4 linked regions of the Drosophila melanogaster genome follow. The protein of the gene in region 4 interacts with the protein of the main gene of each other region in a pairwise test. Each region holds a gene or a part of one and is shown on either strand. Other genes may lie near its edges.

Evidence for each region.
Region 1: the proteins of Tsp42Eb (region 4) and CG10344 interact in a two-hybrid assay, tested with the Drosophila melanogaster proteins (one large-scale study listed by BioGRID).
Region 2: the proteins of Tsp42Eb (region 4) and Ccp84Ad interact in a two-hybrid assay, tested with the Drosophila melanogaster proteins (one large-scale study listed by BioGRID).
Region 3: the proteins of Tsp42Eb (region 4) and Hey interact in a two-hybrid assay, tested with the Drosophila melanogaster proteins (one large-scale study listed by BioGRID).

The regions. Positions count from the first base shown.
Region 1 is NT_033778.4:22,425,233-22,428,834, forward strand, and holds CG10344 (uncharacterized protein), read right to left. Parts: upstream 1,746-3,602; 5' UTR 1,682-1,745; coding exon 1,450-1,681; intron 1,395-1,449; coding exon 790-1,394; 3' UTR 750-789; coding exon of another isoform or gene 570-749; 3' UTR 512-569; downstream 1-511. Other genes in the region: rad50, read left to right, coding at 1-225; CG46442 (uncharacterized protein), read left to right, coding at 344-511, 570-749; ppk12 (pickpocket 12), read left to right, coding at 2,247-2,398, 2,458-2,658, 2,723-3,004, 3,056-3,171, 3,225-3,313, 3,366-3,602.
Region 2 is NT_033777.3:6,690,914-6,694,043, reverse strand, and holds Ccp84Ad (Ccp84Ad), read right to left. Parts: upstream 1,313-3,130; 5' UTR 1,247-1,312; coding exon 1,235-1,246; intron 1,174-1,234; coding exon 586-1,173; 3' UTR 517-585; downstream 1-516. Other genes in the region: Ccp84Ae, read left to right, coding at 2,341-2,352, 2,471-3,085.
Region 3 is NT_033778.4:7,994,895-8,000,152, forward strand, and holds Hey (Hairy/E(spl)-related with YRPW motif), read right to left. Parts: upstream 3,385-5,258; 5' UTR 3,199-3,384; coding exon 2,939-3,198; intron 2,526-2,938; coding exon 2,311-2,525; intron 1,570-2,310; coding exon 767-1,569; 3' UTR 544-766; downstream 1-543. Other genes in the region: Dic3 (dicarboxylate carrier 3), read right to left, coding at 1-33. UniProt on the Drosophila melanogaster protein: Transcriptional repressor which acts as a downstream effector of Notch signaling.
Region 4 is NT_033778.4:6,996,984-7,000,415, forward strand, and holds Tsp42Eb (tetraspanin 42Eb), read left to right. Parts: upstream 1-1,864; 5' UTR 1,865-1,946; coding exon 1,947-2,198; intron 2,199-2,262; coding exon 2,263-2,427; intron 2,428-2,499; coding exon 2,500-2,751; 3' UTR 2,752-2,865; downstream 2,866-3,432.

The sequences.
Region 1 (3,602 bases), about 15 Mb from region 4:
GATCGCGCCAATATAAACTCGCTATGTGAAGCCCTGAATTGCATCGTGGAGGAGCGCCAAAGCCAGTCCAACTTTATGCTCATCATCATCACTCACGACGAGAATTTCGTTTCGTCTCTGGGCAAGATAACCTCCTACCATCGGGTCTTCCGCAACGAGGAGTGCAAGTCGGTTATACGGAGAGTGGAGGCGGGTCCATCAAAGAAAGCTTTGATAGATCAATAAAAAATATTATTTTTGTTATCAATCTATGTTTGCTTGTCTAGTCATCAAATCAGTTATAGACGGGGACAATTGGCCGCGCAGGTGTGGTAACAAAGAATGATGGGTTTAGTTTTTAGAAATGGCCAATACGTGTGGTCTGTTGCTGCTGGCAATACTTGCTTATGCAGAAGTTGCATGCCACTCCGTACAATTTGGCATGCTGCACTTTCTAGCTGTTCCCATATATGAGACTGAAATATTCACCACTGAATTTGTGGATTTCGTAGACGTGAAGTACACACAAAAGGTATTTTAAATATATTACTTTAAATAAAGTGGAAGATCTCTTAGGTATTTTTGTACAGGGTAGCATGTGCTTTCATATAAACATGATATTGGTCATCGATGAAAGTGAAATGGAATGGAAAGGCCAGGCGTCCGTTCTGTCCGGCGGTATTGGTTACAACTTCACTATCTTAAGACTAACATTTAACCAGCCAGAGGTTGCCAAAGTCACAGTAGTCATTTACGGGATCCCCAGGTAGGAACTGCACAGCAGATATTTATCCTAGATCCTAATCAGTCTTAGTCTTGTTTGTTCGTAGGGACATTCCAGTGGTATCCGTCTTCCGGCAGATCGCTGCGAATCAGTGGGGACAGCCACGCTAAATGCATGCGGTTTCCAAAAACGCTCCTTAGATTTTGATACACTCCTCTGTCGTACTTTTCTTTGCTCTCCTTAGTGCGATCGGCGGAAACACCGCCCCTTAAAACAATGGGCACATGGTAGGCCAGGAGGAGGACTCCATAAGCCAGAGCTAAAATATTTAAGCTGTAGAAGACCAGGTACATGTTGGTCCAAAAACTGCCCGTTACCAGGTGTAACATGGGGCAGGCGAGTTTTAACACCGTCACCCAGTTGCTGTAGATGTGGCCGTGGATGACCCACATGTATATGGAGTTGTACACCAGTGCGTAAACTGATCCCACGAAGAGATAGAATATAAAGCCCATGAAGAAGCGATGGTTTCTGAGTCCAATGCAGCAGCCGGTGTAGATACAGTGGTGATCCCGCTTCAGAATGCACACTTTGCAGGCCTTGCAATGCCAAGATCTGGGTGGTGCTAGCTTCTGGCACTCGCCGCACTCACGCCAATTCAACTGATCCGATGGTGGTTCCACCTTTTTCACTGGAAATGGGATATGCATTTTATCGGATTTATTATAAGACCTGCTGCGACTTACCATTTACACTTGTGTCAATCATCATGCAGGCAATCATGTTTCCCTTGATGTTAAACACCAGGAACATGGCCATAAGAAAGGTGAAGGTGTGGAAGAAGCCACCCGGTTCATGGAAGGCAGGCAGCACCACCACAATCTCGAACATAAACACCACCGGGAGAAAGACCGCAATGATGAGGAAGCACAAGATGTCCACCATCCGGCTGGGCATTGGGTTGCTCCGGATTCTCATGATCTGTGCTACTAAGGTAAATAAATAGGCACCGATCTCCGATATGTCAGAAAGAGAACTAACTTGATAACCGGTTGCTGTAACATCACGTGCGGTTGAGCTTTATTTTATCAAGCTTTCGAGGCCAAAGCTAATGGGTCGCCGGTAAAAAGCTCGCTTTCTATGTTTTTGCGGCGAAAAGTTTGCGTTCAGTATGATTGAATGTGATTCATTGAACCCGAGTTCAATATAATTTGATAAACTCCAAAGCTAACCGAATTAAAGTTTGATATCAAGCGCGGGGTGGTGTAAAACTGCGGCCATGCACTTATACATGTTATCAAGACGGGCCACACGTCGTATGCTTGATGGCGTGTGCCATGAATACATACATATACATTTAAACGCCAACGGCAAGCCAGCATTGAGAATTTAATTAACTTGAAAGGATTCACTCCTTCGAATGCCGCCGTAATCGGGGTAAAACCTTAATTACATGCCTCTTTAATAAGTGTGCCGACACCTGATTGCTTGCGATATCAAGTATTTATGCAGGTGTCAAGGGTCATTAAGTAAACAGTTCGCTATGGAACCGTCGCCGTCAGCCGGAACGGAAAGGCAGGGATCCTCGTTATTTCTGCTGAAGAGCTTCGTCAGGAGTCTGCGGCAGTTCCTCAACCAGACTAGTCTGCATGGACTCAAGTTTGTGGGCGATTCCGGCCTGAGTAGCTGGGAGAGGTGGGAAAGGAGCACATCCAAGTGCGGATTTTGAGCTACATTTGCAAAACCCTTTTTAGATCGTTTTTCCTTGGCTCCTTTGTCACCGCCCTCATCATCACGGTGCACCTCATATCGAACATCTATGTGAAGTGGGATAGCACGCCGGTTATAATCGGCATCAGCCCACAGGCCACCTCCATTTTGAAGGTTCCTTTTCCGGCAATAACCATATGCAATATGAACCAGGTGCAGAGGAGTCTGGTAGCCAATTACAGAGAGTAAGTTCGGTTTTCCTCTAAGGCAATCGTCCATCCATCATTTTGAAATTAAATTATGTTCCAGGGGCTCCAATGAAAGTGCCCTTCTGAAGCTATTATGTGAATCGGATAGCTGGGAATCCAGTGAGGCTGATGAGGAGTTCTCCGCTTCGAATTTTGTCACGAACAACCTGAAGATATCCGAATTTGTTTCAAATCACTCGCAGTCCTGCGAGAGAATGTTGCTTTTTTGTAGATTCAGTGCCGTGGAGCGAAACTGTTCGCAACTGTTTCAGCAGATCCTGACGGATGAGGGCCTGTGTTGCGTCTTCAATTTTCAACCACCGGAATATCTCTACAAGCCATTGTAACTAGATGGGTTCATTAAATTAAAATAATTGATTTATTGTTTTGACAGTGCAAATAACAACCGGAACTTGACGAACTCTGATGGGTTTGAAAGTGTTATGTGGGATCCGGAGTCAGGATATCCGGAACAATTGCCCCCCAAGTTCTATCCAGCCACCGCTAGTGGTAAAATATCAGAGAATCGTTAATGAATAGAGTATTTCAAATATGTACTATAGGCACTGGTATCACCTTGGGATTTACTGCCGTACTTGATGCTGAGATGGGCGAATACTATTGCTCTTCGACCAATGGACCTGGTTTTAAAGTAAGCCTTTAATATACATACTGCCTTTACCCATCATACCCGCCATTTCCAGGTTTACTTTCACAATCCCATCGAAGTTCCCAAGGTGAAGGAGGCGGGCCTCATCTCAGCCATTGGCTACGAAACCAACTATCGAATTGAGATGGTTCGTGCCGAGGCGGTTCCGGCCATTCGATCTATATCCCGCGATGGCCGGCAGTGCCTGTTCAAGAACGAGAAGGAGCTGATCTTTTATCGTATCTATACGCGACTCAACTGCGAGAACGAGTGCCTGGCCGCATTCCTCTAC
Region 2 (3,130 bases), on a different chromosome or scaffold from region 4:
AACTTGCTGATGATATCTAAAGCGTATCTGATAGTCTATTATCAACTGCATATTTTATTAAGCTTAGTTTGATTAGATAGACGCGCAGGGTATAAACATATCATACATTTTTAAAAAAATATTTAAAATAATATTGTTATATCTATAACTCTCAAGAATTAACTTTTTTATGTTGACTCTGTTAGTTTTAATCATAACTTCATCAATACCCTATCAATATAAAAATATCTAATGCAATCAAAAATATAAGCTGATGGTTTTAAAATTGCACATATTATTTAAACAAAATATTTGAGATTTTTTTTTTATTTTTGTAAAGATTTTGCAGTATTTTTTATAGGTATTAAATATGGCTAACACATCTAATTGAAACACATTAGAATGTCATTAATGAAGACGCTATCTCCTTGACTCAATTTTATCCGGATAAAACAAATCCGAAATTGTTTCAGCTGCCGTTGATGAAAATAGATGATCAATAGATGAAAATAAAAAAAAAAATTTTTTTTAATATTTGTGTGTATTTGTAGGAGGCAATTGTAAAACTATAACAGTAATGGGTTGAGAAACGTAAAATGACAGTTCTTAGTGGTGGTAGGCAACAGCGGGGGCGGCGTAGGAGGTGTAGGTAGCAGGAGCGGCGTAGTGGGCAACTGGAGCCACGGTCTTGACCACGGCGGGAGCAGCGTAGTGGGCAACCGGAGCCACGGTCTTGACCACAGCGGGAGCAGCGTAATGGGCGACAGCAGGGGCGGCGTAGTGGGCAACGGGAGCGGCGACGGTCTTCACAACGGGGGCAACGGCGACGGCCTTGACCAGGGGCTCACGGTTGACAACGGCGTTGAATCCGTTGATGGGATCGGCGGTGTACTGGACGGTTCTCTTGTAGCCATCGGCGTCGATCAGGGAGTACTCTCCGCGGACCACGTCGCCATCGCGCTCCTCCACCTGGCTCTTGGAGTCTCCGGAGAGGGAGTCCTGAACATCGTAGGCGTACTTGTACTGGGGATGGGGATCGTACTCCTCGGCGGCCTTGGCAAGAACCGGCTGGGCGTGAGCAACGGCGACAGGTGCTTGGGCGTAGGTGGCCACGGCGGGGGCGGCGTGGTACACCTGCTGGACGGGCAGAACACCGGCGCTGGCGGCGGCGATCAGGGCGAAGAGGGCGATGAACTGAAAGAGGGAAAGCAGTTAGGATGTGGGTCTTTGGCGGGGCTAAGTCCTCGGGGCGAACCTTGAATGCCATTTTGATTTGGATTGATTTGGCTGCTGCTGCTGCTGCTGTTGGTTGTTGGAAGGCAAAATGAACTGTGAGGGCTACTGGGCCAACACTTGGCTTATATACCGAGATGGAGCTATTTCTTCAGCTGCTGCTACCATTGAATGGCCGAACTCGCTTTTGCCGGCGGGCCACGCTCTTGGCGTAATTAGTGCAATTCATTTATGCTAAACGTGTGTGGAGAGGGAAAAGTGAAGCTTGAAGGCGTGCTCAATCTTTGTATCTCTGTGTTTTGTCATCAAATAACTTCAATTTATCCGAGAGAAACGGAGAGCGTGCGCTGTGACATCACTGCTTACTAAATCCAGTTAGCTTACAAGACAGTTAATATTGTGGCAAAAAGGTCGCTTAAAAAGATATTAACTCAAAACATCTAAATTATCGTAGCTTTATTAAATTAAAATTATTATTTTTTATCACCCACCTTTGGTTTCCAAAATTTGAAGATAGTTCACAGGCGAACAGCTTTTTAACATGCTTAAAACTTTTTTTTGTAACATATTTGTAATATTTTATGTAGGTTAATAAAATTATACAACTTTGTAGGAAATGTGTTTTAAATACATAATAATCAAATTATGATCCCAACATAAAATATTCATTATACCTCACCAAGACAAACCTATGGATACAAACTCAAAACGTATTTAATAATTTGACTAGCAAATATTTAAACAAATAAGATCAGAACTTTTATTCCCTTTTTATAAAAAATGGGTTCAATTATACACACTTACTTTGTTGTACTTTCCAAAAGAAAAACAACAAAATTGAATAAGAAGACTCCAAGTTTAAGGAAAATAGTAATTAAAATTGGCTTGGCGTAATCAATTAAGTGCAGCTGGTTATTTCGACCGATCGAAATTGGCAGAACTGAAGAAGGTGCGTGACAATTTTTACATGCCACCGGCGCCGCTCGAGGTGATGCGCCAAAAATGAATTCCAATTAGGTGTCATCAATGTCACCAAGTAGCGTATAAAATAAACGGCCCACAATGGGTCAGACATTCAGTGTTTGGCTTCGGCTCAAGACAGCAGTTAATCAAATTCATCCAACTACAATGGCAGCAAAGGTTTGTGCTACCAATTGGAGGATAAACGTTCCGGGGGACTACTAGTGGATTACCAGACTGCCTTCGCCTTTTTATCTTGGAAAAAAAAATCCTAAAAAGAGTGTAATTTATTCCGCAGATTGTTATCGCTTTGGCTCTGTTCGCCGTGGCCCATGGCGCCGTCCTTAGAACTGCTGCTCCAGTGGCAGTGGCTTCTGCTCCGGTGCCAGTTTTGGCCAAGACCGTTGAGTTGGAGGAGGTTGATCCGCATCCTCAGTACACCTACAGCTACGACGTGCAGGACACGCTTTCCGGCGACAACAAGGGGCATGTGGAGGAGCGCGATGGTGACGTGGTCCGCGGCGAGTACTCCCTGATCGACGCCGATGGCTTTAAGCGCACCGTGACCTATACCGCCGATTCCATTAACGGATTCAACGCCGTCGTCCGCCGTGAACCCCTTGCCGCTGTTGTGGCCGCCGAGCCGTTGCTGAAGGTTGCTGCCCCATTGGTCAAGGCCGCTCCAGTCGCCCCCATCGCCCCTGTCGCCTTGGCCGCACCAGCTCCCATTGTGCGCTCCGCTCCAGTGGCCGTCGCTGCTCCTCTGATCAAGTCCGCTCCCCTAGCAGTTGCCGCTCCGTTCGTCCGCTCCGCCCCTCTGGCGGTGGCTGCTCCCGCTCCCGTTCTGCGTACCGCTGCCTATGCCACGCCTCTGCGGTACACCGCCCCTGCGTACACCGTCGCCCAATTGTAAACACCCATGCGACCGCTGTTATTTTGAACCCTTGTTTTGTTTCTA
Region 3 (5,258 bases), 1.0 Mb from region 4:
GCGCGGGAGGCGCCTCGAACTGTCTTCTCCCATAGACCGAACTTAATTTCTTGGAATTTTTTTTTAGAAACCCTAAGCTATCTGACGTGTAAAACTAAAAAGAATTCGGTAAATTTTTCGCTGCAACGAATTGTTCCCATTTAGCTAAGGATAATTCAGCCGCTATGACGGCGAACTGGTAGTCCTCGCAGTGACAAAGCGCACCTCAAGAATGTTCGTTAAAATTAATATTTTCTCTGATAATCCAATAATAGCACTAATCAAAGTATGCGTCATTGATATACCTCAAATTTTTGAATGTGGATCGTCACTACTTGTTTAAACTTTTTTGATTGTTTTTAATAATTATACCCGTTACTCGTGGATTATATATATTCTTATATATTATATATTATATATATATTTTTGATCGGAATCAATACCTGATTCAATCTGGCCATGTCCGTCTGTCCGTCTGTATGAACGTCGAGATTTCACGAAATATAACAACTAGAAAGGCTTTCCTGATCCGAATATCAATTATCAAGCGAGTTTCAACATATTCACTTATACACTCATGCGTTTATTTACAATAGATTCACAAAGTGTTCAAAGTTATAGTTATCATAGGGTATAACTTAAGCTTAAAGGCTTACGGGACTAGCTAATCTCACTGCGTTGTTTCTCCATTTTTTTCTCTCTGTGTAGGATGCGAAACTTAAGACTATCACACTTGGTCTGCTCTGACTAGAGGTTGAAATATCCCTTCTGAGGCTTATGCCCACAATCAATAGGCCATCTCGGCGCCCCAAGGACGATAGGGCTTTGCTCCGTTGGGAGTGGCGTACTGCAGCACACTGGAGTTGTTGTAGTCCTGGCCTGGCAGTCCGCTGACCGGATACTGAGGAGCAGCACTATAGCTAAGGCTATCGGAACCTATGGCCGCTGGACGATTGCTGTTGGTCAGCTCTATGTAGGTGGGAACCTGCTGCTCGGAATGCACTGCGCTGTGGTCGTGGGTATAGTGTTGCTGCTGCGTCGGCTGAGGTGTTGTCTGCGTCCGTTGCTGTTGCTGCTGATGCTGCTGCTGTTGGTGTTGCTGCTGCTGCTGCTGTTGCTGCTGCTGTTGCTGCTGCTGTTGGCTGCTGCTGTCAGAGTGGAGATCATGGCTGGGCAGCGATTCAGTTACGGCACTTCCACTTGTCCGCGAGACACTGGTGCGTCCTCCCAGTTGCTGAGCCTGCTGAGAGGGCGAGGCACTTAGTGTGGGGTAGCTGGACACATAGGCACCCGGGTTGGCTGGCGCCGCATAGCTCTGGTAGGGAGCAGCCGCACAGTTTGGCTGATAGCCGGAGGAGCTGGGAGCAGCCGGAGACCAGCCACCCGGACTGGCGCAGCTCTTGGCCGACAGTTCGCGCTGCTGCACAAAGTACTGGAGGTGGGACATAAGGCGCAGGCGCAGAGGATCCTGAATGTCCATGCCCTCGATGGTGACCAAATAGCGGGCCACCTCTGCGGCGCACTCGCGGAACCCAATGATATGGTAGTCCATGGCCACTCGCTGCGGATCATAGCTAAGCGAGTCGAGAGCTGCAACAAGATACGAGGAGGTGGAGAAAGTCAATAAGCTGTCTAATCCCAGTTCAGGCAAACAATTAAAATAGCTGTTCCCACGCGACGAGCATAAAGAACAACCCCCATGTCCTTCGGCGGGATGGCTTGTTGTGAGGTGGCTATCGGGGGGTGAAAGCCCGCGCCTGGCTACAAGGTTGCCATCGTGGTGGTGCCGCTACTGAGCGTGGGAAGCCCCGAGATTCGAGATTCACTTGAGCGCTAGGCTGGCGCTGGTGGTGGTGGTCCTGCTTTGCCTACGGCAATCATAATTTTCCCACAATTCGACCCTGTTCGGGACAACAGGTCAGGATTGTTTACCCAGATTTGTGATAATTTGCCGCATATTGTATTTAATATCGTTACTCAATTGTTTCCCACAGCGGCTTGCGTTTAGGGATTCTGCTTGCAGTTTTTCCCATTCCAATTTTTTATAATGTATTGAAGTTCATATGTATGTCAGATATGCCTTGATTAATTAGTGCGCTAAATGGGCCCTAATGTAATATTAACTGTCGAAATAAGAAATTACTTTCTTTACACTTTACTTCTTTTAGTTAACCAACTTAGTTGGCTGCCCAAGTTAACCCTCTATTTGCTCCTATTGTGATTAATGACCCATAGAAGCGTTTAACTTCAGTGAGGAGGTCTGTGGTGCAGCTAGCCTATTTGCTTTTTAAAACCTCTTTAAGCTAGCTCAAGTGGGCTTGGTAAACTTACTTTTAGACTGCAGACTCTTGAGATGCTCCACGGTCAGCTGAAGGATTTCGGCCTTCTCCAGCTTGGCGGATCCCTGCTTCTCGTAGGCGGAGGGCACCAGGCGCTTGAGTTCGGTGAGCGAGGAGTTGATCCGATCCCGCCGCTTCTTCTCGATCACTCCGCGTCGCTTCTTGCGGCTCATCAGTTGGCAGCTGCCCGGCTCACTGGGCGAGATTCTAATGGAACAGAGGAAAGGGTTTCTATTAGCTATGGATTGAAGTTAATGATAGATTCTTAATCTTAATATCTTAATCTTTCATAGACTGAAAAACACTCTATGGTGTTACTAAAAAAACCTCTAAGTTACAGAACATTTTAAAATCTATCTTTTCTTAAAACCCTATAGTTTAGTGATTTATATTTTGATGGTTTATCAGCAACTTTGCGTTAAGTGGAGTTATCCATGACTTCGATTCACTAAGTAAATATCATGACGCACTATTTTTTTTAGCAACATAAAACGTTTGCACATCGCATGGTATTTTCAAAGGTTTCATTTTACAAGACAACTCCTAACTTGGGAACTGCGAATAGCTTTTTGTGCACTAAATTGAAAAACAAATTTTGATAAGAAGTCACGAGTACGCACTGTTCCTTGGAGGACTCCTCGGAGTAGAGATCGTCGCAGTCGCTCTCGGAAAGCGTCCGCTTCAGGCTGCCGATGCCGTGGCTATGGCCCTGGCTATGCCCGTGGCTGTGGTTGCTGTGGGCGCTGTGGTGGCTCTGCGGCGGCGGCACCCAGTGGCTCTGGGGTGTGGTGGCGGTGGCGCCGGGCATGACCACGCCGGGTCCGGCGGCGTAGCCCCAGTGATGCAGCGATGGCGCATTGACGTGCATGTTGTGATCCATTGTGTGTGGTGACCAGTGTTTACTCGCTGCTCCTGCGCACTTGACACTACTGTGTTGATGTTGCTGTTGCTGAGCTGTAGCTTTGCGTGCTGCTAGTTGCAGAGGCAGATGCAGTTGGCGGCTAGACCGGGCTGGCGGAGCTAGTTTGAGCACGTGACTTATCGTGTGCGCGAACGGCGTTCGACTGATTCTGTAGCACACGTCGAGCGGACGACCTGCCCTCCGCTGCCGCCGCTCAACCCCTTTTTACCGCCTGCGGCAGCCGTCCAATAAGATGCAGCAGCAACCACCCCCTGGCAACGCGCAGCGCGTGCTTGCCGAGATTGGGGTAGGAAACGGGAAGCAAACATATTCGCCGCGCGGCGATCGCCGCCAAGTGAGCAAGTGAGAGTGTGCGACAAGGAGCGACCAGCGCCGGCAAATGAGCAAGCCTCTGTCATCGATTCATCCGATTGTATCGCCCGACCATCTGATATAGCCTTTCAGCAGCCTCTAAAGCATCTAAAGCATCTAAAGCATCTGCAGCACGGCCTTTAATCGGCGCCGTGGGCGACAAACTGGCGGCGTCCGCCGTCCACTTGTTTGCCGCTGGAGCGGCTGCACCCGTCCATGGAACTCAAACTGGAGCACGCGCCGGTCGTGTGGCATCGCGTGGCGCCGGGTAAAGCCCCAACAAGTGCAACAGCCGCCGTTGACCTCTATCTGTGCAGTGGGACGCGTGCTGGTGGGTGGCCCACACAGTTCTAGGTCAGTGCCGGCTCAAGGTTGCGGCATCCCGGGTCCGGAATGGGAACGGGAACATCCACAGGTGCAGAAGCAGGAGCAGGAGACGAGATAACAACGACTGCGGCAGCAGGTGACCGAAGTTGACCTAGAAATTGCCCGAGGTAAAATCGACTTGTTTACCTAGAAATATGCTAATGCGGAAATAATTCACTTTAATGTTATCGAAAGCAGCGTTTCATCACAAAGGGATATAAGGAACTTGGATGGCGACGGTAAAACGTAAATATGTTGTACAATTTTACGAAAAAGCAGACGTGAGCTTTATCTTTTTCTTTATCTTTTTGATTTGCCATTATAAACTCTTAGATGCGCTTTGTCACTGCATTTCGAATATTCACATGATTTAATCCATTCTAAATTTTTTGCTGAATTGGCTAATCTTATAACTTCCTTAATTGTTCCTTGTAATTGTATGAACGCTGAGCTCTCGGGAACTATAAAAGCATGAATGTAAAACTAGTTACTAGGATTAAGAGCTAGATTGTTACAGAAGATTGCAACGCCTACTCTTAAGGACACAAACCGGCTAAAACTGCCACGTCCATACTTTTGCAAAATTGTCATATTTTTTAAAAATATTTTGGCCACTCCCAGTCTAATGGCCACAAGCTGTCAATCTAAAACTTTTGAAAAATGTTTTGATATTTTTGATTTCACTATTTTTTTTGACAGCTTTGATCGCTATTCCACCAAAATTTGTCAGTTTTTCTAATGATTTTACAAGCTGAGATAGTTAACATCGAAATTAACGTTCTGTCTGTTTTGGTTAATGTTTCCCCATTAACTTTAATGTAATATATTTTGACAGTATTGTGTTCATAAATTCAATATAACAAGCTGATCAATGTCAATATTACCTATAAATTTTATTATGATAAACTATTTCATCCAAAATTTCCCATTATTTCTTATATCAGCCGCACGGAATGTGTGTTTAAAGCTAGCAGTAGATTAAAAACAATTAAAATGCGAATGAAAAACAGTATACGGTGGAGCTGATATATTTACATATATATGTACGTTGTGGTTTGACATAACTTTCCCTAATAAAAACTATACTTGAATTATCGTTATGCAAAAATAATTCTTCTGTAGATATCTATGTTAAAATGTTCATTTCAACTCCTTTGTCCTGTCACCCTAAAGAATCCCAATATTGCTATATGAATCCCTATACTATTGTATATACTTTTATATCCCTTTACTATTATATGTTGCAATTTCGCATATAACTGGAAATATCATTAGTTATTCTCCCCCACAAAATGATTTAG
Region 4 (3,432 bases):
CATGTGGGTGCAGAAGGACAAGTACCTGGAGATCATGGGCGACGTGGTCGAGAAGGCCTGGAACCATCGCACCAGTCGTTCCGACTACATGGACGCGATTCAGATCAGCGTAAGTATTTAGGGACTTCCAAGGACATGTGACCCGCCTTCAACTGACTTTCTGCCGCTCCCGCAGATGAAATGCTGCGGACGCAGTGGCTACACCGACTACGCCTACCAGGGCAAGTTCCCTCCCTCCTGCTGCAGCGACACCAACAACTGCCGCTGGGAGACCGTCTACCGGCGGGGATGCAAGGTCACCTTCGTTGAGTTCTGGGACAGGAACAGCGACATCATCAAGTATGCCGGTCTGGTCATCGCCGCCATCGAAGTAAGTTATTGTCCAGAGTAACGCAATCGAACGAAATCGATCATCGAATCTAGGTGCTTCCCCATGTGAATTTCGAAAATATGATGGATGGGTTCATGTTACCTACCTTCCATTGTGATTTCTTGGGGATAACCAAAAAGTACTAAGTAATGTAAATCATAATTCGTAGCAATGCAGTTTAGTTTGTTATTTTACCATAAGCGTTATGAGATTTACACCTACATGTATATTCTTCCAATATACCATACTCTGTTTGCTTTCAGTTTGTGGGATTCGTTTTCGCCTGTTGCTTGGCGAACAGCATTCGGAACTATAGACGCCGTGCGGAATATTAATCGACAAAGGACTAAGGCCTTGCACTAATTTTAATTGAAACCGAAAGTACGAATTATGTTGCCCAATTTTACGAATATTTACCTGATACAGATGGCCATTCAAATTTGCATAATCTCAAGCGTAAGCAGCAAATGCAGCAAATCCAATGACGAATGCGTAACGATCACTTTTGTAAGATCGTTTGTTCAAAGTTACACTGAATGTGCTAATATGTTTAACTGTACAAAATAACTTATACTCCTGGAGATTGCAATAAACGGAGAAATTTATTTACAATTTACGAAAAGAGTTCAGTCTTTGTCTTAATGGGAAAGCTTACATTGTTTGCAATTCGACTTAATCCCTAAAGCACCTATTTTTCTAAATTGCCACGGGAGGATTTCGGCCATTCGCGATAACGTTTTAATCTGCAAAGTAATAAGTATAAATAGAGTTGGCCGAAACCAACAAGTACACTTTGATTACAGATCATTATCAATCATTGGCTCTATTGACATATTTCCGTAGAACTAACCTATCAGAAGACTATATTTAGTTAGTTAGCTTTTTAGGGCTCAGACGAAATCTTATCTCCATTGAGCTATTTTATCTATGAAGGGCACATAGCCGTTTTGTGAATGTCAATGGGAAATTATTCCGCCGTGGAAACCCCAATAGTTGCCAAAATCTTGTTGAAGTTAGGCTGGGAGTGCACTCGCTAAAAGGTTTATTGCTCGATTGATAGTACATAAATCTAGGCGATAAGATCGGGGACTCACGGGGAAACGGACTCCAAGCAACGTAATATGTGAGTCAGCGTGCACCGCGTACTCTTGACTGGTGATAAGGCAAGGTGTGGAGGGTGTGAATGATTCATCTTATGAACGATCTAACGCCCCCAAGATGGAATCGCACGAGGGCTAGATAAAATTCCGCCACCAGCAGTTTGCACCTACCATTCGTTGAATGAATCATTGCGCCAAGGATGTAATTTCCCAGGTTCGGACCACCACAATGATCTGGTATCTCGTGGGTGCAAAGCGATTCACCAAGTACAAGTACATGGGCATCGGAGCTTCCAGCACAAGTACATACGGAATTTTATGGCCGAGATAAGAGCGCAGCCGATAAGATGAGGACTCCGAGTAAGCTTTAATAGCCGCGTTCTGTCCGAGGGCCCATTCAGTTAGACGAACATCGTCACATCGAACGAACGGATTATCCAGCTAGCCAACGAGAAACCCGAACAGAACCCAGCACCATGAACTGTCTATCCGCGATGTTCAAGTACCTGCTGTACTTGCTCAACCTGGTGTTCGTGGCCGGTGGCATCCTGCTCATTGTGGTGGGCTCCATCATGCTCTCCACGATGGGCAACTTTACGGCCTTCGACGGAGGCGTTAACACCCAGACCATCCCGATCTGCATTATCGTCATCGGAAGTGTCACCTTCGTAGTGGCCTTCTTCGGATGCTGCGGCACCATTCGCGAGAACGCCTGCTGCACCACCATCGTAAGCACTCGGAAATCACCCACTGACCGAAATTGGATTCTAAATGACTTGGCATTCCTTTCAGTACGCCATCTGCATGCTGATTCTGTTCGGCCTGCAACTGGCCCTCTCCATCTGGATCTTCGCGGCCAACGACAAGTTCCTGTCCAGCATGGGCAAGGCAGTGGACAAGGCGTGGGATGAGAACAATGCCGCCCAGGGATACCCCATGGATGCCCTCCAGTTGGCCGTAAGTTTATCGAAATTCACCATCAGATGTCATTAGTTTTTTCCGGATATTTACGTATCTATTCCATTGCAGTTCTCTTGCTGTGGCAACACGGGATACCAACAGTATGAAACCGTGCCCAGCTCCTGCTGCGGCTACAAGGATCGCACCAAGGTGTGCGAAGCGGAGATCTACAGCCAGCGACCTGGCTGCCGGCAGGAGTTCGTCGATTTCTGGGCCTCCAATACGGACCTGATTCGATGGAGCAGTCTGATCATCGCCCTCTTCGAGCTGGGCATCTTCATCATGTCGTGCTGCCTGGCCAGCGCGATGAGGAAGCGCTAGAGCCGAAGTCAGATACAATCCTTAGACGTAGCCCAGTTCATAGCATAAATCCAACACACGAATTCCTCACTCACTCACTCACCGTAAATAAACCAGAATAGGTTAAGCCCAATGAAATATTATTGCTTATTCGCTGTCTACCTCTGGCTGCCGTCTATCTAATCAAGACAGGTTGATGTTTTTCCAAAAAGTATGTCCTTATCGGCCTGTTAGCCGAGTGCCGCGTTTCCGAGATCGAATGCCCTCAGTAGTGGTGAATCACCTCCATATGGCAATGGCTATCGATCTCCGCCCGCCGCCCAGTGCCCATTATCTATTTTTCGTTTCGGCCATGATTATGATAACAGGCACTTGCGTATCTTTCCTCCGATAGCGCCCGTGTCTGTTGGCCAATTTAAAAACAGTAGCCCATCTGGAGGAGCAGTCCAATCGAACGACAGTAAACGACGCGAGTGCGCGATAAAATCAGAGACACCGACAACTCCTTTGGATAAAACAATAGTGTTTATTTAATTCTACTAAATACAGGAGCAAACTATATACTTTCAAAATGGGTTGTCTATCGGGAATAGTCAACTTTATTTTATATATTGTCAATATCGTGTTTTTGGTAAGTGCTTGTCGGTTGAGTATCTAAGTAAAAGGAATTAATAATGTAATGAGACGTGTAACAATAGACCA